3 linked regions of the Arabidopsis thaliana genome follow. Each later gene encodes a partner of the first gene's protein in a complex. Each region holds a gene or a part of one and is shown in the gene's direction. Other genes may lie near its edges. The genes, in order: MYB3R-5, ATE2F2 and RBR1.

Region 1 (6,847 bases):
ACCGTATCTCTTTTACCTCTTCTCTTCCATCTGGAAAATGGTCTTGTGGAGTATGTCGTAAAAAGGTTGACAACAATTGTGGTGCATACACTTGCAACAAGTGTAGCCACTATTTTGTTCATACAAGATGTGCGTTACGGGAAGACTTGTGGGATGGAAAGGATCTCGAGGGAGTACCTGAAGAACCTGAAATAATTCTCGAGCCATTTGAGACGATAGCTGATGGAATAATACTCCATTTTTCTCATGGCCATCATCTGAAACTCAAGACCAGTGGAGTTTACAACGAAAACATTATTTGTCAAGCGTGCATCCTTCCAATCTATGAGGGTAATTATTACTCGTGTATGGATCAATGCAACTTCATCCTCCACGAAGCATGTGCAAATGCTTCTCGCAAGAAAGATCATGCCTTACACAGTCACCCACTTACGCTAAAAGTTGTCTCTGATATACAGAATGAATACTTTAAAGGTTACTTCAGGTGTTCCGCTTGTGATCGTGAAAGTTGTGGCTTCATCTATGAGGAGGATCAATACAGCATAGACATACGGTGTGCCTCTGTTTCTGAACCATTTGATTATCAAGGCCATGAGCATCCCTTATTCCAAGCTTTAGACCGAAAAGAAGAAAGGGAGGCAATTTGTCAAATTTGCCGAAAAAAGTATGGTCGAAAACTAAATTGCATCGAATGCAATTATATTATATGTTTCAGTTGTGCTACTTTACCATACAAGGCAAAGTATAAGCTTGACAAACATTTCCTCACATTTCGGGAAGGGGAAGAGGGAAGTGATCAGTTAGACTGGTGTGAGGTATGCGAAAAGAAATTAGAATACTCAAGAGAAGGTGGGTTCTATGCGTGTGATGACTGCTGCACCACTCTCCATGTTGATTGTTTGCTTGGAAAAGAGATGTATATGTTGAATCCTGGTCATACTGTAATGGCTTATAGGTCAAACATTTATATTCTTCCCAACAATACCATGACTCGACCATTCTGCCAACTTCATAAAGAAGATCGTTGTCCACACAAAGTAATTTTCAATTGGCATGACATGACATTTTGCTCTTACAGTTGTTCGATGGATTAGATGTCATCATCGCCGGTGCTTCGTCGTCCCTTATTCGCTATATTTCACTCCCCATTTGCTTGTCTACGTTTTGTAATATGTTTCTTCTATTAAAACGTATTGTAATACTTTTGGATTCTTAACTTCTTCTAGTTCCCCATTTGCTCAATCTTCTTGTTGTCTGGTTGTTTACGTTTTTGTGTAATCTTTTCTTTTACTAAAACGAATTGTAATTTTCTATATCTTCTTCTTACCCAAAAACCTCGACTGATTAATTATATCTCGGCCTTTGGGCTTTAAATTATGGGCCAATTCGGACTGTTCTCGCTTAAGAAACTACAGTAAAAAAAAAAACCAGAATGAGTTATCTTAATGATCCGACGGTCCATAATCATTGAGGACCTCTGATTTGCCGACGTGTACAATGGTCAACGCATCAGCTAAAGAGTGCCGTTTGAGGTTGAAACTTTTATTTCCAACGTCAACCTTTCTTCTACTTTTAACGTCCGTTAAGTCCCCCTGTGGTTTCTTGTCACCATTTTCGGTTATAGTTTGATTTTAGATAACCGGTTTTATCCAACCACGAATTAAACTCGTTGTTTTCGTTTTTATCCGAAAGAATATTATAATTAATTAATTAGCCCAGTCACATTAATAAGTTTCGTAAAAAAACATTCATTTTCTCAATTCAATTAACCGGCTTCTTCCAATTCTTTTGAGTCGGTTTGGAATAAACCGGCCGGTTCCAGGTTAACGGCAGTTAGCAGTTACGTCGGCGGAAGAAGTATTCGTTACAATATTTGTTTTAATCCCAATTAGTCTCCTTCTCCTTTCTCTCTTCTCTCTCGTTCAACGGGCAAAGTTTTTTTCGAATATAAGTTTTGGTTTGTTTTTTAACGTTCCCTTCTTCTTCTTCCTCGCGAATTCGCTTATCTGGCGATCACGATGAGCTCAAGTTCGAATCCACCGGTTTGTTCACCGGAAAAGGTCAGATTTTTCCCTGAAATCTGATTAGGGCTTTTCATTTTTTGTGATCAGATTGTTATCTTCGTCTACTTTGGTGTGAGTTCATGGGGTTTTAGGTCTGAATCGGAACACGTTTTAACAGGTCTTGGAAAAGGGTCTGAATTGGTTTCTAATGATTAGAATTGTATAAACCCTAAACATCCATCTTGTGCTTGAAAGAAATCGACTTGTTTTTTTGTGAGATCTGGCTTCTATTTTGCGGCCGTTGAGTTTTTAGGGTTTTGTGATTTTTGATTATTTGTTTGATAAAGATACGTTCTTGTTCATTTTGTGCTCAATCCCATGTTTTTAACGAAAATTCTGGATTTGGTGATTTATATGGGTTTTTTAGGAGGAAAGAAGTGAAATGAAAATTGAGATTCAATGTATGGAGAATAAGCAACCATTAGCTGCTTCTTGCTCTTCTGCATCCGAAGGTAGTGGCTGTTTCTTCCTCAAGTCACCTGAAATCGCAACTCCTGCCACAGTATCTTCATTTCCTCGGTACTTTTACTATCTTTTACATTTCATCTTCTATCTGTGTGTTTATACAACTTATTATGAAATTGATTGATTGGAAAGACTGTGCTTTGATGACTTACACCGAACTCATTTTGGGTTTCTGCAATGTTTTAATGTTGATCTGCAGGAGGACTAGTGGACCTATGAGACGAGCAAAAGGTGGTTGGACTCCAGAGGAGGTTAGTGGTTGCTTTTGTTTCATAATTTTGTTGGTGTGTGGAGCAACCTCATTCGACTATGTATCTTATATGTATAAGGATTAGTGTTTACTTGAATGAAAGACGAGACTAGCCTTATTGTGGTCTGTAATTGGTTTTTATCACTATTCAGGATGAGACACTTAGACGAGCAGTTGAAAAGTATAAGGGGAAGAGGTGGAAGAAAATAGGTAAATTTCTTTTCTTGAATGTAAAAGTAGTATTGCAATACATTAGAATGAGATTATAGGTCTTCTAATCACACTCTTGTCTTGATGTATACTTGAATGTATAATTTATACATTTTTAAAACTGAACTCGTATCTTAAATCTGCTGAGAATTTTGTGAATTTTTCTCATTCAGTAAACATGATCTCTGCTGTGCACTTTGCAAGAGAACCATGATTTCTTTTTTGTCTCTTAAATGTTAAAGTAGCTGGTTTCGGTCAATGTTCTGTTTGTTTGATTTTTTTGTATTTCATCTTACAGCGGAATTTTTCCCAGAGAGAACAGAAGTCCAATGCTTGCACAGGTGGCAGAAAGTTCTTAATCCAGAGCTTGTTAAAGGACCTTGGACTCAAGAGGTTCTCTTATCATTTTCATGTTCTGAAACTTTTTTTGGTTTTCATTTTACGTAAAAATTTGGTAGCTCTAAAATTCTCTTTCTTTCGTGAATTGTAGGAGGATGATAAAATCGTTGAACTTGTAAAAAAATATGGACCTGCCAAATGGTCTGTCATCGCCAAGTCCTTACCAGGTCGTATTGGGAAACAATGTCGAGAAAGGTAACAAAGATTAGAATATTGACTATCTGAAGAATAGAGCCTGTACCTCCGTTGAGTTTGGAAGCCTCAACGAGTTTACGATTACAGGTGGCACAACCATTTAAATCCTGGTATTAGAAAGGATGCTTGGACCGTAGAAGAAGAATCAGCTCTCATGAATTCTCATCGAATGTACGGAAACAAATGGGCGGAAATTGCTAAGGTTTTACCAGGAAGGTATACTTACTTGTAGTTGAAAAAGGCCTTGTGAAAAATAAAGTTAATGGACATTTTTGAACATCTCATACAGTTTTTGCTTCTGATGTCTACCTGTACTTTTTGCAGGACTGATAACGCCATAAAGAACCATTGGAATAGTTCACTGAAGAAAAAATTAGAGTTCTACTTAGCAACTGGTAACTTGCCACCGCCAGCAAGCAAATTCATCGTTCTGAAAGATATTGCTGATGGAGACAGAGATTCCAAGCAGTCTAGTGCAACTAAACCTTTCAAGGATTCTGATTCGCTTACCCAAACCTCTTCAGGAAATACAGATTCAAATGAAGTTGGAAGAGACCATTTTGACTCTTCTTCCGCTCTGCTTGAAGAAGTAGCTGCTTCACGAAGAATCGGTGTCAATGAGTATGCTTGCTCTCCTGTTGAGTACAAGCCTCAGTTGCCTAATCTGGAACCAATTTCAGAGGAAGTCAGAATCAACTCAAAAGCTTATTTTGAGAGATCAATCCAGAGGAAAGTAGAAAACGGGTTTGGAACTCCAAAGCATGGGAATTTATACTATAAGTCTCCACTTGACTATTACTTTCCATCAGAAGCGGATCTGCAACATATGTACGGATATGAATGTGGTTGCAGTCCCGGTGCTGCATCACCAGTCAGCTTAATGACTACACCCTGTAATAAAGACAGTGGTTTAACTGCAACGAGAAGTCCTGAATCTTTCTTGAGAGAAGCTGCTAGGACTTTTCCAAACACACCTTCTATTTTTAGGAAAAGGCGAAAGGTTGTTTTGGCAGCGAAAACAGATGCTGTTGTTGTTGTTAATGGTGTAGTTAAGGAAGTTGATCGAAAAGAAGAAAGTAAAGATATGAGAAAAAGTTTGTTGCTGGAGACAACTGATAATTGCAGTGATGATGAAGAACTCGGGTTAAATGGAAATGCTTTCAATTTGTCTCCACCATATCGGTTAAGAGCTAAAAGAACAGCTGTAATCAAATCAAGACAGCTTGAGTTTACATCTGAAAAGGAGAAGCAGCCAGATAATGAGATTGAGTTTACATCTGCAAAAGAGAAGCAGCCTGATAATGAAATTAAAACGTCTGAGGAAGACAAGCCTGTGTAGAACCCTTCTTCCCTTAGAAAACTGTGAGTGAAAATTTCAAATCTTTTATTTAATGTCACTAATCTGAGTAACAAATCTAAAATAATTCCATCCTTGTTGACACAGAGATCGTGTGAAGAAACCAGTATGGTTCCAGAAGAATTGAAGCTTTGCTGGGAAGAGAACCGTGAAGAAAAACAATTCTCATTCTCTTCCTCACAGCCTTGAGCTATGAATCTACGGCTTTGGTCTAACACCCGAACTAAAATGAAATAGGTAGGTAGGTACACTCACAAGTAGTTTAATTTCATCGTTCACATACATGGTGTCCTGTTTACGTTTAAAATGATAATTGTGCAGAAACTAGTTTTAAAGGATTAGAATTTTGGTTAATTCTTTTTTATTTTTAGGGCTTTTGAGTATATGATGTTACATAGTTGACGAAGACACTGAAAATTCTTCCATTTTCGGACATCGAAGTGATATCAGAACACAACACATTCGTTTTGATACTATCCTTTCTCTGGATCAATCTGTACATATATCAAAAATTTTACAAATAAACCTTCTCAAAATCAACACTTTTTTTTTAATCATTGGGATGTTTATCGACCATTTTCAGGTAGTAAGCCTGAATAAAATAAAAGAAACAATGCAAATCTGCGCACAGAGACTAACCAATGATAGTATTGTTAAAAATAAACATTATGCAACTGCCAAGAAATAATACTCTATTTACAAACATGATCGCATATATCCACAAATAAAGAAATCAACCAAAGTGACAGAAATCAAATAAAAAAAAATCATCAGAAAAGCTCTCAAATCTTTAGAATCTTAACTGATGATTTCAAAGCAACATATGAATACCATCTCATAGAGATCAATGTCTGAGAAATAGCACGCAGATCGTTTAATGTAAGACGGCTCCAATTGTGGTTTGGCCGAGAACTTTTGAACTGCGATCAAGTCCATGAGAACCAACCTGAAAAGGATTTCACCAAGCAAAACAATTATATATTTTACCATACAAACAAAAGTTTCTTCTTTTGATTGTTGAGACAAACATTTACCAAGTAAGTTAAAGCAGCATAACGTTCTTCATTCAGGTATAGTCGTTTTCCTCTGATCATATCGATATCCTGAAACAATATTCAATGACCAACAGCATGGAAACATCCGAATCAACAAGATCGTACCCATCAAAGTTAAAAGGAAAAGAAAGAAAAAAATCTTTCTAGGTTTACCTCTTCTCCAAACGTATCCAGGTAAGGAGATGGCCAAGGTGATTGTCTTGCAAACCTTTGTAGCAAAATTGTGGTCCGCTATCGAAAAATGTAGAGCAGTAATCAATTAGAAAGCCCACAAATGATGCAAACTCCATACATACACGAGCAATATATAAAGTAAAGGAGAGTTATATCCACAAGAGAGAGAGAGAGAGAGAGAAGACGAGAGGTGATACCCGTATCAGAAGAAATACACCAGTACCAGCACCACAGGTAATTGCATGATTAGGACAACCACTTTCTCTGTAAAAGTATGTTAGAACGTCATTGTTTGGTTTTCTAGAACAATAACAGTGTCAACCAAAACGATGTTTGGAGACTAGTGGAAGTAAAGGCAATACCTGCAACAAGGGCTCCATATGGGAGAACACAAACTTCCACACAGAAGACATAATACAGGTTCTTCGATAACTTTGGTGCAGTTGACGCAACGTTTTTTTATACACCTATAAAAGAAAAGAAAACAAGGCTTTTTGATTAGAGAAAAAGTCTTCGAATGGGAAACAACTTGTGCAAAAACCAGAGAGAGACGTTGCTGCAAACCTTTGTAGTAGGTCCTGGTATAGATTGGGTAATTTCATTAGCTGGAAAGGAACTACAGGGGTGATGCAAAGGGACCTTTTAACTCTGTTGACTCTATATTCCCGCTGAAAATGCT
Region 2 (6,311 bases), on another chromosome or scaffold:
TTTTTTTTTTATAGGACAGGTTTGGCGAGACGGGTTTGGAAGAACGTTACTTAATAAGAATTATAAAATATAAAATAAAAATATTTTATAGATAGATATAATTTTCAAACTTTTATATATACTAATTTTAAAAAAAAAAATCTTCATGGTGTACTACGGGTTAAAATCTAATAGTTGTAGAAAACTCTTAAGCCTAAGGAAGTTAATTACCTAAATGGTAGGAGTTATAATAAAAATAACTTCTTACCAAAAAAACAACGTTAGATAACTTGTAAGATCACTTTTAGAGGCTATAAATTCCTCCTCACCTTTTCTTTTGTATAAAAGTAGAAAAAAGGAACCAAAGTAAACAAATAAAAATGCTATCGACTATTGTAAATTCTTTTTTAGTGTTTCCATATTTTTTTCATTTTTTATTTACTGTTTTTTTCTTACTGCACCATGACAAGTGAAGTAGATTTCGCGTTAGTGCACTTGAAATTTAGGACAACAAAAATGCAACTAGACAAACTTTTTCTGTATGAATATCTAGACGAACTTACATTTATATGGATAATCTTGTTTTGTTTGTTTGTCACAGTTAAACTAAAATATAATATAATTTTTCTGATCCATGGCTACAATAAATTTTAAAAATGTGGATAATATGTCTTCACAAATATTTTTCTAAATAAAATACTCTTTCTTTTTTTTGGCTAAAAAGTTGTCACATGCCATAGGGACGAAAATGTGTGTTTTACATTGTTTGGTACACCAATGTTTCAGTCTCTCAGATCTAAACTAATGGAAATTACGTTGATTTAAGCCATCATGATATCATGAAGGGATTTTTTCTCGTCATATTTGTCCAGTTTTACGAAAACAAGTTAAGGTATCAAACTTATGCGATACGAAAACTCTTTGAAATAACTCAATTATATTTACATTCCTTTAATATGTTTTGTTTATTCAAAATCATGATTAATTAATTCAGTATTTTGAATTCCTATTTTTGTTACATGATGCAATTGGTAATAATACAATGAAAAAAAAAACAGTCCCTTGTGTAGCGCTATACACCAAGTTTGTGTGTTTGTCGTCAATGCACCCATCGCTTCCTTATAACCTAATATAGGTTTTGATTGGTAACCACTTTACAAAACGGTACTAAGCGTTACAAAGTTTTACTCTTAGTTTATTGTACAGCTTAATACCTGTAGTAGAGTTAACAACTTTTGGTTACCAATCAGACCCATAAACATATATTAAGATAGACAAAAAAACATATATACATATATAGTACGACTTCATAAAAGATGGTATAATTTTCACATAATTTGATATTAATTAGATATCACTTACTCAAGTACTCAACTATGCAGAAGCACTCTTCATTCTTCAATTGTTTTTATGAAAATATTAAAGAAAAAAAGCTAGAAAAATGATACCAGAGAAACAAAATGAATCATGGGTTTAGAAATTCATTCTAATTTCTACCTTTTGGCAAAGACCATGAACTCTAAACTACTTTTTGGTATGATAACTGGACCAAATTTGGGCCGTTCATAGAGTTTATTGGTGCAGATGGACCTCGGAGATTAGGACTCCCCTGTAAACTCAATCTAGCAATGCCGAGACTCCGTATTTATAGATTCGTGAACCATGAATGTCGATCATTAACATAAAGCTACAAAGTATGAAGCTCTAGAAGATATGTAAACGTCGTAACATTATTAAGCCCAATTCAAGCCCAAGACCAAGCCCAAGACCAAGCCCAACAAATAGTCAAAAGAGTAAAATAATAAGCGGAAGAAGTTAGGCGGGGCTTAGGCAGAATTCGAAACTCTCTCCAACTTCTTTCGCCCACCGCTCTTTTAACATAATTCCAATATTTCTTTCTTATATTAATCTTTTTAATACAACAAAAAGACACTTTTACCCTTCCTCTTCTTCCCGCTGTTTCCTCTCTTCTCTCTCCATCTTTTTCTCCATCTTCCCTCTTCTCCTTCTTCATCTTCCCCCACAAAAACCTAAATCACGATTCTCCAAAATCGCTTCAAAAAATCACTCTAAATCCCATCTTCTCTACCACCGGAGATACACCGCCGTTACATGGCCGCGACATCAAACTCAGGCGAAGATCCGACTCTCTCTTACCATCACCGATCTCCTTTTCGCTTCGAATTACTTCAATCTATCTCTTCCTCTGATCCTCGTTACTCTTCTCTAACTCCTTCTTCAACGAATCGACCTTTCTCAGTCTCTCAATCGCTTCCGAATTCACAACTGTCTCCTCTAATTTCACCTCACTGGGACGATTCTTACTCTCAAATCACTCAGAAAGTTGTGAGTCTCTTCGTTTACTCAAGTCCTCGTAGATTCCTTCTTTGATTTTGATTCCATTTCCGAACTTGATTTTGCGATAGCTAGGTTTAATTCTGATTCCCAAATTTCGCGAAAACAAAAATTGAATGAAGTTTGGTTTCATTAAGGGAAACTTAATCCAAAATTGGATCTCTAGCTTTCAATTCTCTAATCTCAATTTGCGAATTTAGATTCGTTTTGGTGATTGTAATGCTATTGAGTTGATCTTTTCTTAATTTGCAGCAGAAGAGTAGAAAGAATCATCGAATTCAGCTTGGATCTATTGCCAACATGTCTGGAGGAGAAAGCATAGATATAGCTAAAGTAATAGTGAAACAAGAGTCGTCTCCTCAAAATGTTAAACGTGTATACAACAAGTCAAAGGGTGGTACTAAACTGTTAAAGGCTGGGAAACGAATGGCGAATGGCGGTATCTGCTTTTTCTGATCAATCTCTTTGGCTAGCTCTTAGAATGTGATATGTATTGAAAATAAGAATCTGTTTGTATTCAGCATTGTTGTGAATGAGTTTTTTTGTGCAGAAGTGCAAAATGGTGGCTTAAATGGAGCTAGTATTAACTGCCGTTATGACAGTTCTTTAGGTAACTAATAGTTCTGTTTACTAAGGTTCATGTTTGTATGGAGATAACAACTGTAATTGTATCGGTGTCTCTTTTGTTTGATAGGGTTGTTGACAAAAAAATTCGTGAAGTTGATCCAGGAAGCTGAGGATGGAACACTTGACCTTAACTATTGTGCAGTTGTTTTGGAGGTATGCTAAATGTATCTTAATATTTAAGTTAAAAATGTATGTCTCAACTCGTAGAAGATCTAATTAAGAACGTGGACTAAAAAGATCACTCACCTTTATAACCCTTGCCTTAACTGTTTGATATCTCCCTAGTTATCTTCATCAGCTTGTTAGGATCTCCTCTTATGTGCTTACGTGTTCCTGCGATCCCTCTTAACAGGTACAAAAAAGAAGGATATATGATATTACAAATGTCCTTGAAGGAATTGGATTGATAGAGAAAACTACAAAGAATCATATCCGCTGGAAGTAAGTACACAAATTTTTTCTTTCTTGGATACATTGCAGCGTATATAGCTTGAGTTCGTCTGACTTTGTGTATGCGCTATTGATGCAGGGGTGCTGACAATCTTGGACAAAAGGACCTGGGAGATCAAATTTCTAGGCTTAAGGTTCATTGTGACAAGCATTTTCACGTGTTTTCTTTGTCGTAGAACTTACTGCTATGCAAATAATCTGTCAAATTCATGATTTCATTATTTTTCTGTCTTATAGTTTATTTCACACAGTTATTTTCAAATTCCCCATTACTGACCGGTTACATATCTACGTATTTTCAGTCAGAAGTAGAGAGTATGCAATCTGAGGAAAGCAGGTTGGATGATCTTATAAGGTTGGTTGCTTGTGTTCTTATATTATGTTTGGAGACTTATCCATTGTTCCTTTCCCACATGGTTTGAAGATCATCATGTTATGTATCTCCAGGGAACGACAAGAAGCTCTCAGATCCTTGGAGGAAGATGACTACTGTAGAAGGTATTCGTCAGTTTATTTGAGTTTCATCTTTTTGTATATACACGAGAGTGTTGCTAAGATCAATGATGGAAATAAACAGGTACATGTTTATGACGGAGGAAGATATAACGAGTCTCCCACGGTTTCAGGTCCTCCCCAACTAGTTCTTGAAAATCATCTTATGTTTTCCTCAGTTATTTAACATACTAAACTGGTAGTCCTTATACAGAACCAGACATTACTAGCAATTAAAGCTCCTACAGCTAGTTACATCGAAGTTCCAGATCCTGATGAGGTGAGCGTTTTTAATGCTTTCATATTTGCTGTACAGTTGTAATATAATGTGTCACAAAGTAAAGCATCTGTTTTTGTTCACGATAGATGAGTTTTCCGCAACAGTACCGGATGGTGATTAGGAGTAGAATGGGGCCGATTGATGTCTATCTTTTAAGGTACTTAGTTACACATTCCACTCTCTGTGTCTGGTCTTATCTATATATTTGTCAGTCAGTGTTAATAACTGGGAACAAACATGATCGCAGCAAATACAAAGGAGACAGTGCGGAAACAAGCGACAAGTTGGGTAATGAGTCTGATCAAAAAGCTCCAGTTGGAGTAGACACTCCTTCCTTGAAAATAGTAACTTCAGATACTGATGTAAGTATTTAGATCCACTGATATGGGTTTTGGGATCAGTCTCGCATTTCGTATGTTGCGATTAAGTTGAATTTTTGGTTGTGTATTGCCAGTTAAAAGCAGATTACTGGTTCGAGTCAGATGCAGAGGTGAGCCTCACAGATTTATGGAGCAACTTCAACAGCTGAGAAACAAAGTTGTTTGAAACCTCAAATTCCCAATTACTAGGATGAGGATGAATTTTCTGTTACATTTTACTACCCCTTTTGAGCCTGAAATCCTAATAGATTTTTTTCCTTATAAAAATAAAAGATGCAATATTTTAAGGTCATTCAAGGGATGTGGCAATTATGTGAAAAAACTTGTACTCTAATTAGATATATAATTATACTTAATGGCCTTTTGCATGTCAATGCATACATCTGTTTTTGTAACATGTGTTTATAATGAACTTTGAAATTAATCTTTTTGACACTTTGGGTCCATAGGTTACAATTTGCATGTTCAAACAGAAACAAAGCATCATTTACGAACCACCTGATTTGGACAATATCAAACGTTACTTCTGTCAGAATCATGTCAAAAAACGAATGGTTCCAAATTGAAAACTAGTTAATCTCTCATCTTGTTACATTTAGTTTCAAAGCTCGAAGTCTTGAACGCTAGTAGAGAAAAATATCTTGTGGAAAAGAAGTATCAACTTTACAAAGCTTGATGTCATTCATGAGTTAGATCATATCATGTTTGATGTCATTCATGAGTTAATCATGACCACATTGGACATTGATATCTTGGTGGATCCCTAAATATGGTGCTTGTTTGGATCCCAAGCAATACTTTTCGTTAAATGGCATAACTCTTGCCTAGAAGTAACTGCCTAAAACAGTAAAACGTACCCTAAAAAAAAAGGAATGCCTTTCAGAGGATAATTTTCCTAATATACATTGTTGGATATAATTCTGCTATATAAACTCACCCACACACGAGAAGATTGAAAGCGACTCAAAAATCAAGAACATCGAACAACGTCGTTTTGCCGCTGACTACCATCTCAAACGATTCCCAAACAAATGGCTCAGTTCACTACAACAATATCGTTTTGACCGAGATTCTTGATTTTTTTTTATATACAAACTTTTATGGTAATTTTATTGTTGAAAATCATGGCTAAGCATTATTGGAATAGAAGCAAAACTCAAATATAGCCTGTCAAATAAGAGAAGGTATAGAGCAGATTCGTTGATACATCATAGAAGAAGAGGTAGTGAACAAAAATTTTCTACCTCGCCAAGTCAGTTTTGCTCCTTTTTTGTTTTTGTTTTTGGCTCATATTCAAACTTTAAAAATGCAATGTTGACGTTTCTTCTAGGTTGGAATTGGACAGAGGACAACTTGGTAATGTTTGTACCGAGGTTTTAACAATAAGTAACTAAGGAGTTTGAGGAGAACGGAGTAGATTTTTTATTAACGATGAAGGAGAACAATAAAATTACAGAACGAAAAACCAAAAATGCAGAACGGAGAACCGAAAGTACATAACGGAAAATCAGGAAATATATAATGGAGAACCAAAAGGACAAAACGGAGAACCGAACGTACAGAATGAGAAACCTGAAAATACAGAACAGAGAACCGAACGTACAGAACGGAAAACCAGAAAGTAAAAGATAAAGAGCTAGACAACAATTCTCTCTTAAATTCTACGAATAATAACTTTAAGTCTGAATCCCTTTTCTCAATAGTGTCTTCTACTATTATAGGTGACCTAAAATTTCCTTTGTCTCTCT
Region 3 (8,567 bases), on another chromosome or scaffold:
GACAGTAGCATCAGCCTTGAGCAAAAGAAGTGAAACGGGCAAACCAACAATGTTACTCCGACCTACAACAACTGCTCGTTGCCCCTTTATCTTTACGCCGCTTCTAGCTAGGAGTTCCAAACATCCCTGCACACACAGAAAATCACCTCATAGTTGATACAGAAGAAAAACAGAACACTGAGATTTCTCGCTTGAAAGAGACTGAAGTCTATATGCAAAAAAAGGAGAAGTACCTTTGGGGTGCAAGGAAGGAAGAGGGGTTCTCTGCCTTTCATGGCTAGCTTACCAATATTCAAAGGATGGAAGCCATCGACATCTTTATCAATGCTGATTGCACCCAATATATGCTCCTCATTAATATGTTTCGGCAATGGGAGTTGAACTAATATGCCTGCAAATCAAACACCAAAGCTTATATAAGCACAGGAGAGCAAGGAATGTTTGCTTTATACCAAAACGAAAGACTTGCATAGACATTAAAGTTTCTATCTATCCTTAATAGTTTAGACTAATGATAACCGAGAAGACATACAAAATCAAGTATTATTTACCGCCACAACTAACCATGGACATCCGGATTTGAATTTAGTTCATGAACTTTGCTAATAAGATCAGCTTCAGAAACTTCCTCTGGTAGGCCCACGTCAAATGACTTAATCCCAACCTCAGCGCACGCTTTCCTCTTCGTATTCACATAGGTCTGTGAATCCTTTCGGCTCCCAACAATAACTACAGCTAGTCCTGGGACCTGCATGAAGGTAAAATCAGATTCGATTGAATCTCGTACATTCTTGAAACTATATAAAGGGGTCCAACTGAAGCAACTGAACAAACGCACTAAACCATTTATTACACATACTCTCGTTCCTTCTATTTTATTACAATGATATCAAACATTATAAGCTTAGCACACACTATCTGTATAAATAAGATAGTATGCCACTTGAAGTAATGCAGGCAGCTCAAAAATCCAGCGAAACAAAATAACAGTGATCTAACTAAAATGGAGCTTACATTTGACCCTGTTAAGCATTTTCAATAGAAGGTTGTGATCATAGCTGCTTAAATCTAGTCATTTTAAACCATAAAGCTAAAAGAGAGTAAATTTTCAATAGTGCTATCATCTTATAAAAGAACGGAGAATTATAAGGAGAGACATGTCAAGATTAGGACACTGATTCATAAGATGCGTTTACCTTGCCGTGTTTCTCAGATAGACCGCGAACTTCCTCGGCGATCTCTGATCTGATGGTATGAGCAATCGCCTTGCCGTCGATTATCTTCGCCGTGTGATCAGATGATGACGCCATGAGCCACTAGGAATTTGCCTCGTGTCGGAAATATCTAATTCTCTCTCTGGATCCACTCACACTCGAAGATGACGAAGAAGACTTAATCTGAATCCATCCGCGGATAGGACACTCATACTTCTGCAACCAAACGTTCTACAATGGCAAATATGTAATTTCCCGCGTGACCTAAACTAGAAACGGCATCGTATTAAGGGTGGGCCCAATCATAACTCACACGAGGCTTTGTCGCGGTCACGAAAACCCAGACGGCGTTAATGGCCCACTCCGTTTGTTTCGACCCCGCCGTGACGGCGAATCTTTCCCTCTCAGCGTTTCACGCAACAGTAAGTAAGTTTTGGCGGTAAAATTGGGTCACAGATGGGTACGTGTCGATTTAATAGTGGTTGAAAGCGCGCGAATATAATTGTATACGTATGTGTATGTATTCTCCGTGTTGTTTTTCCCGCGCGAGATATATCCTTTTTTAGGGTTTGCCGCATAATCAGACCCCATTCTAGAGAGAGAAGAGGGAAGTCAGGTGAAGATAGAGAGAGACACTGAGAGGAGGGAAAATTTGTAGGGTTTTCGGAGATCTCTGTGATTCCTCTGAATTTGTCGAATTTTTTGGAGGAGGCGTTAGAAGTCGGGCTTCTTAAAAATCAGATCTTCTGCTCAGGCTTTAATCGGCGACGTCTGGTATTGGGATCTGTGACACAAAAAGGTAAGATCTTTCTCTATTGCCTATCCTTTGATTTGAAATCTTATCCTCTAGGTGGTTTATCTGAAATTTTCTATTGATATTTCGCTATTCGATTGTAAGTTGGTGAGAGAATTCTCCAAAAACAAAAAAGAGAAAAACTTTGAATGAATATTTAAGATAACATCTGGGTAAAATTTTTCCGGAGTGGTGGGTTTTAGATTATGCCCCAATTTCTCTTCTTTTTTTCCCCCAAATTTTGTCTTTCTGCCATGTTTTGGGAAATTGGGAGTTTGTTTTCTCATGTCTGTTAGTGTGTTCTTCCGAATGGGTTGGGCATGGTTCCTATTGAATTTCAGTGTGATTAAATTAACAAATCTCTTTGCTTGAAAAGTCCCTTTTTCTTCGTCTTCAGTTAGCAGTTTAATTGGAAGTAAAATTAGCTTGATTTTGCATGTTTTCAGCTGCGTTGGAGACTATGGAAGAAGTTCAGCCTCCAGTGACCCCGCCCATTGAACCAAATGGGAAAAGAAGCGAAGCCTCTCTCTTGGACATATGCGAGGTTTACTCTTCTCTTTGCTGATCTAGTTGCATTTGTTTAGTTGAAGATACCATTTGAGTTCTCTCGGAAATTTTGAGGACTAGCTCTAATCCCTGTAGTTGATTTCTTATTGCAGAAAGTTCTGTCTCTTGATGGGAGCACTTGCGATGAAGCTTTGAAGTTGTTTACAGAAACCAAACGAATTTTGTCAGCAAGCATGTCTAACATTGGAAGTGGAACGGTGAAATACATTTTTCCTCTAACTTCTCTTTTATCAGTTAACTGTGGTTTCATTATGACTAAATCCTTTTTTCTTCTTCTTATTAGCGGGAAGAAGTAGAGAGGTTCTGGTTTGCGTTTATTCTCTATTCAGTGAAGAGGCTTAGTGTGAGAAAAGAAGCGGATGGTCTGTCAGTGTCTGGTGATAATGAGTTTAATCTATGTCAGATACTGAGGGCTCTGAAGCTAAAGTAAGTAGTGTTCAATTCTTCCTTCCTTGTCATTCTTAAATTCATTTGTAGTGACGATTTTCCTCTTTTCTGTTTATAGTATTGTGGATTTTTTTAAAGAGTTACCTCAGTTTGTGGTCAAGGCTGGATCTGTACTGGGTGAACTTTACGGCGCAGACTGGGAGAACAGACTTCAGGTTTTGACTAACATCTTTTAAATATACTTCTACTTCTATTATATCATTGTTAAATATGCTTCTATTAACTAATTTTTACTTACTAGGCAAAGGAGGTGCAGGCTAACTTTGTGCATCTTAGCCTTCTAAGCAAGTGAGTTTAGCTCCCTTCCTATTTTACATTTATCTTTGTTTTGTGTAAGAATAGTTATTGACATAGATTTCATATTTTGGACCTGCAACTTAGAAGCAAATTTTCTTCCTATGCAATAATCAGAATATGGGCTTGCAATATTCCTTCAATTTTAAATTAATTAAGATTTAGAGTTACAGATTTCTGGTTTTCATGTGATTATATTCTGTGAATTGTTTTAAGGACATGTTAAAGTATGATGTTTTTGGTACCTTTCCTTGGTAACAGATACTACAAACGTGGGTTCCGGGAATTCTTTTTGACATATGATGCAAACGCAGAAAAGAACTCAGCAAACTCTTCTACCTATTTGCTGGATAGTTATCGTTTTGGATGGCTACTCTTTTTGGCACTCCGAAACCATGCGTTTAGTCGATTTAAGGACCTCGTGACATGCTCAAATGGCGTAGTTTCTATATTGGTTAGTGACTACCTGTGGAGCTCTCCCTAATCTTTCATTCATTTTAGTCTTGCTGTACATTATTACTTGAAAGATGCTTCGTTTAATATAACGCAATTGAAGTATAGGCTAACTCCTTTTCATGTTATCAGGCTATTTTGATCATACATGTTCCTTGTCGGTTTAGAAATTTCAGCATCCAAGATTCTTCTCGCTTTGGTGAGTGTTTATCTTTTCTTCTATCCCGATAACCATGGCACCATAGAATGTTTATCATCTATTTTCATTTATGTGATGAATCTCAGTTAAGAAAGGTGACAAAGGTGTAGACTTGGTTGCATCACTTTGCAAGATATATGACGCCTCAGAAGATGAGTTGAGGATAGTAATTGACAAGGCAAATAATTTGGTAGAAACCATACTGAAGAAAAAGCCATCTCCAGCATCTGAGTGCCAAACTGACAAGCTAGATAATATTGACCCAGGTTGGTCTAAAATCATTTTCCTTCTTCAATTAAAGAATCATGTGAGTTCATTGAACAGTTGCCTGATTGTTCTTCGAATCTATATGGTGTTTTACTGCAGATGGCTTGACCTACTTTGAGGATTTACTGGAAGAGACGTCCATCTCAACTAGCTTAATTACACTTGAAAAGGATTACTATGATGGTAAAGGCGAACTTGATGAGAGGGTATTCATCAATGAAGAGGATAGCTTACTTGGATCTGGAAGCTTATCTGCAGGAGCTGTTAATATTACTGGTGTTAAGAGGAAAATTGATGCTTTGAGCTCACCTGCAAGGACATTTATAAGCCCACTTTCTCCTCATAAGTCGCCTGCTGCTAAGACAAATGGTATTAGCGGTGCTACCAAGTTGGCAGCAACACCAGTGAGCACAGCAATGACAACTGCCAAGTGGCTCAGGACTGTCATATCCCCGCTTCTGCCAAAACCTTCTCCTGGGTTGGAACATTTCCTTAAATCATGTGATAGGGATATAACAAATGACGTCACACGAAGAGCACACATAATATTGGAAGCTATTTTCCCAAATAGTTCCCTTGGTGCCCAATGTGGAGGTGGAAGTTTGCAAGCTGTTGACCTGATGGATGACATATGGGCAGAGCAGCGCAGATTAGAAGCTTGTAAGTTATACTACAGAGTTCTTGAGGCAATGTGTAAAGCAGAAGCTCAGATTTTGCATGCAAATAATCTGAACTCTTTATTGACAAATGAGAGGTTCCATAGATGCATGCTTGCTTGCTCAGCTGAATTGGTACTGGCTACCCACAAAACAATTACAATGTTGTTCCCAGCTGTTCTGGAGAGGACTGGGATCACAGCCTTTGATCTCAGCAAGGTAATTGAGAGTTTCATACGACATGAAGATTCTCTGCCTAGAGAGTTGAGACGACATCTGAATTCACTGGAGGAACGGCTTCTAGAGAGTATGGTATGGGAGAAAGGCTCTTCAATGTACAATTCTCTGATTGTTGCCAGGCCATCGCTTGCATTGGAGATAAATCAGCTCGGTTTACTAGCTGAACCAATGCCATCTCTGGATGCAATCGCAGCACTTATTAATTTCTCTGACGGAGCAAATCATGCATCATCTGTACAAAAGCATGAAACTTGTCCAGGTAGTTTTATTTGTTTCTGAATTAAAGCAGTTTTCCAACCTGTTGTTAATGGTATGATTTTCTTACCAAAAATTGTCAAATTTGCTGCCATATAGGACAAAATGGGGGGATTAGATCGCCCAAAAGATTATGTACTGATTACCGCAGCATTCTAGTTGAACGCAATTCCTTTACATCACCAGTAAAGGATCGTCTGTTGGCCTTAGGCAACGTTAAATCCAAGATGCTGCCACCTCCGTTGCAGTCTGCATTTGCCAGGTACATTTTGAGTAACTATGAGTAGAAATGGAGAGTTAGTTTACCTATCTAGTTGTCCCTGTACTTGTTAAGTAACCTCTTCGGATTTATGTCTACAGCCCAACACGGCCCAACCCAGGAGGTGGAGGAGAAACTTGTGCAGAAACTGGAATCAATATTTTCTTCACAAAGGTAGGTCTGTGAGATCTTTGGATCTACTACTAATCGTTTGGTTAGATGATGTACTACAAAACACGGTATTGATTCTTCATTTTCGGCTGGGAATTGTGTTAAATGTGGTGGCTCTTCCCAGATTAATAAATTGGCTGCTGTAAGAATCAATGGAATGGTGGAAAGACTACAACTTTCACAGCAAATAAGGGAGAGTGTGTATTGTTTCTTCCAACATGTACTTGCTCAGCGGACTTCTCTTTTATTCAGTCGACACATTGACCAGATCATTCTCTGTTGCTTCTACGGAGTGGCCAAGGTGAGTAGTGTGATTCAAAGGGTTTAACTATATGTCATCTGGTTTACAATGGCTTCTCTTACACTTACACTTTTTCCATGAATCACCTTGTAGATATCCCAAATGAGCCTGACTTTCAGGGAAATCATATACAACTACCGGAAGCAACCACAGTGTAAACCATTAGTTTTCCGCAGCGTTTATGTGGATGCGTTACAATGTCGCCGTCAAGGGGTATATATACACTCTTAACCTTATGCTGAAAAGTTTCTTTACTCGGTGGAGAAGACTAAATTTGTGACAATGACTTGAACAGAGAATAGGGCCAGATCATGTTGACATCATCACATTCTACAATGAAATATTTATTCCTGCCGTAAAGCCGCTGCTGGTGGAGCTAGGTCCTGTAAGAAACGACCGGGCTGTGGAAGCCAATAATAAGCCTGAAGGTAGTTAAGAAAGGCCAGATACTTGTTAGATGTAAGCTTTGTCTATCAATTTAGTCCCTAAGTTAAATGATCGTCTTATTTTGGATTCACAGGTCAATGTCCCGGATCGCCAAAGGTGTCTGTGTTTCCAAGTGTTCCAGACATGTCCCCTAAAAAAGTATCTGCAGTGCACAATGTTTATGTTTCTCCTCTTCGGGGATCAAAGGTAAAGAAGATCATAGTGCTTAACTCTTTATCATGATATGACTAAGTCTTGAGGAGGAGGTAGGTGACAAGATTGTTTGGTTACCTTCCATGTGTTGTGTGTTTGCAGATGGATGCTCTTATTTCACACAGTACAAAGAGTTACTATGCTTGTGTTGGAGAGAGTACACATGCTTACCAGAGCCCTTCAAAGGACCTATCTGCCATCAACAACCGCTTGAACAAGTAAGTAGAAAAATCACGTCTCTCATCAGCTTCTTCCATAAAACCAATCACTGACCCAATCCAATTTCATCTGGTGTCACAGCAGCAGCAGCAACCGCAAGAGGACGCTAAACTTTGACGCAGAAGCAGGGATGGTCAGCGATTCCATGGTAGCAAATAGCCTTAACCTCCAAAACCAAAATCAAAACCAAAATGGAAGCGATGCATCGTCCTCAGGTGGTGCCGCACCCCTTAAAACCGAGCCAACAGATTCATAGATATCTCTCTCTACTTGCTACACCAACTTCTCTTCAGTTATAGCATCTGTAAATCCTTATGTTGCAGAGTTTGCTTTTATGTTTAGCTTTCTAGTTTATAGTGATCACCTCAGGCTATGAGCGGATGGATCCCTTTATTGTTTCTTTTTTCTTTTTTTATCTTAGTTAAGTCAGTCTTAATAAGCATTAATAAATGTCTTTTTCTTGTTCACTCTTTCTAACTGTGTTCGGTGTCCCATCTACTAAATTTATTTTCCACTTTAAAAAAAAACAATTTGTGACATTTACTTAACTTGGAACATATACAGTACAGTTAAGCAATTAACTATAACCAACAAATTGTCTGAACAATTGTCTGTCTTACCTTTTTAGCTCTCTATAAATTTACGCCGCAAAACAACACTTTATGTCGATTTCAGAATAACTTACTACTCCAGCATATTTCTCAAAACTTTCTCAATAGGTTAAATTTAAAACAACCTTGCAACTTATGAAAAAATCCTCAGCAAATTTGCCAGAAAAGAGTGTTACAATGGCTACAATCACATTCATAGATTAAATATCTGAACCGGCCAGTGACGCTTCTGACCCTTTGAGCTCAGCCCAGTAGCCTCTAACGAGATGTCTATGCTGCGATGCTCATGTGCTCGTGCAACACTCACACGCAGATGAATGCTTGAGGCGGGACACTCTTCGGTTCCGATGGCTTCTCTTCTGTCATTACCAGACAGAACCGAGGCCGGTGCCACTGAGATTGGTTCTTGAAAAGTTAAGATTGTCTGAGCCCAGTGTGTTGGGGGAGTGTAGGGTGATGTGGATAGTACGGTTGGGTTTTCCTTACAGAACCTACTGGTGAAACCTGTGTCAAACCACAACACAACACCATGGCACAACCTAGTTTTTGCTTCTGACTCAGTGGGCTCCAGCGTTGCCGTTGCTGTGAAATCTACTTCATCCGGTTTCATGGTAGCCAGGTCAAATGTCTAGAAACAAAGAAATTCAAGGAAATTAATTTCAAAGTTTTTCCTGGCGAAACCAAATAATGTGTGATCTTTCAAACCTGAAGAAGGGTAGGCTGTGTCACTAAATCACGCTCCGCTATAACGTCAACAATGGGAAGTCGAGTAGTGTCGTCATGTATCTCCTTCCCAATTGAAGACATGTCAAAGCCATAGACATCTTCCCAGAAAGGAAGACTTGTTGCACCTTTTCCAAATCCCGCAACAAACTGATCCAAGGAGAAAACAAGGGATAAAACTCATCAAGATGATTTCATGAAAAAGACAACATTTGAAGGGCAAAAGATAAGCTTTACCATAGTGGCCGTGTCAGGGAGG

Evidence for each region.
Region 2: MYB3R-5 (region 1) and ATE2F2 share a complex: the UniProt entries of both Arabidopsis thaliana proteins name them as parts of the DREAM-like complex.
Region 3: MYB3R-5 (region 1) and RBR1 share a complex: the UniProt entries of both Arabidopsis thaliana proteins name them as parts of the DREAM-like complex.

What each region holds. Positions count from the first base shown.
Region 1 is NC_003076.8:481,519-488,365, reverse strand, and holds MYB3R-5 (myb domain protein 3r-5), read left to right. Parts: upstream 1-1,892; 5' UTR 1,893-2,018; coding exon 2,019-2,060; intron 2,061-2,430; coding exon 2,431-2,582; intron 2,583-2,701; exon of another isoform or gene 2,702-2,713; coding exon of another isoform or gene 2,714-2,727; coding exon 2,728-2,779; intron 2,780-2,930; coding exon 2,931-2,988; intron 2,989-3,286; coding exon 3,287-3,381; intron 3,382-3,478; coding exon 3,479-3,582; intron 3,583-3,669; coding exon 3,670-3,798; intron 3,799-3,906; coding exon 3,907-4,921; 3' UTR 4,922-4,944; exon of another isoform or gene 4,945-5,026; 3' UTR 5,027-5,573; downstream 5,574-6,847. Other genes in the region: AT5G02330 (Cysteine/Histidine-rich C1 domain family protein), read left to right, coding at 1-1,094; PRT6 (proteolysis 6), read right to left, coding at 5,814-5,885, 5,974-6,042, 6,148-6,225, 6,366-6,432, 6,531-6,635, 6,733-6,847. UniProt on the Arabidopsis thaliana protein: Transcription factor that binds 5'-AACGG-3' motifs in gene promoters. Transcription repressor that regulates organ growth.
Region 2 is NC_003070.9:17,632,846-17,639,156, forward strand, and holds ATE2F2 (winged-helix DNA-binding transcription factor family protein), read left to right. Parts: upstream 1-1,851; 5' UTR 1,852-2,091; coding exon 2,092-2,325; intron 2,326-2,586; coding exon 2,587-2,773; intron 2,774-2,884; coding exon 2,885-2,944; intron 2,945-3,028; coding exon 3,029-3,114; intron 3,115-3,313; coding exon 3,314-3,402; intron 3,403-3,490; coding exon 3,491-3,545; intron 3,546-3,713; coding exon 3,714-3,766; intron 3,767-3,858; coding exon 3,859-3,909; intron 3,910-3,988; coding exon 3,989-4,037; intron 4,038-4,117; coding exon 4,118-4,183; intron 4,184-4,269; coding exon 4,270-4,340; intron 4,341-4,430; coding exon 4,431-4,545; intron 4,546-4,637; coding exon 4,638-4,712; 3' UTR 4,713-4,964; downstream 4,965-6,311. UniProt on the Arabidopsis thaliana protein: Involved in transcriptional repression. May act by repressing E2F-regulated genes in mature differentiated cells, but is not an antagonist of E2FA.
Region 3 is NC_003074.8:3,912,334-3,920,900, reverse strand, and holds RBR1 (retinoblastoma-related 1), read left to right. Parts: upstream 1-1,541; 5' UTR 1,542-2,013; intron 2,014-2,453; 5' UTR 2,454-2,467; coding exon 2,468-2,551; intron 2,552-2,666; coding exon 2,667-2,771; intron 2,772-2,857; coding exon 2,858-3,000; intron 3,001-3,079; coding exon 3,080-3,176; intron 3,177-3,262; coding exon 3,263-3,309; intron 3,310-3,576; coding exon 3,577-3,769; intron 3,770-3,900; coding exon 3,901-3,967; intron 3,968-4,053; coding exon 4,054-4,233; intron 4,234-4,333; coding exon 4,334-5,389; intron 5,390-5,484; coding exon 5,485-5,647; intron 5,648-5,745; coding exon 5,746-5,818; intron 5,819-5,939; coding exon 5,940-6,116; intron 6,117-6,209; coding exon 6,210-6,329; intron 6,330-6,411; coding exon 6,412-6,544; intron 6,545-6,636; coding exon 6,637-6,749; intron 6,750-6,857; coding exon 6,858-6,973; intron 6,974-7,055; coding exon 7,056-7,230; 3' UTR 7,231-7,552; downstream 7,553-8,567. Other genes in the region: AT3G12290 (Amino acid dehydrogenase family protein), read right to left, coding at 1-126, 234-391, 565-748, 1,197-1,310; PRMT3 (protein arginine methyltransferase 3), read right to left, coding at 7,779-8,213, 8,291-8,458, 8,546-8,567. UniProt on the Arabidopsis thaliana protein: Key regulator of entry into cell division. Acts as a transcription repressor of E2F target genes, whose activity is required for progress from the G1 to the S phase of the cell cycle.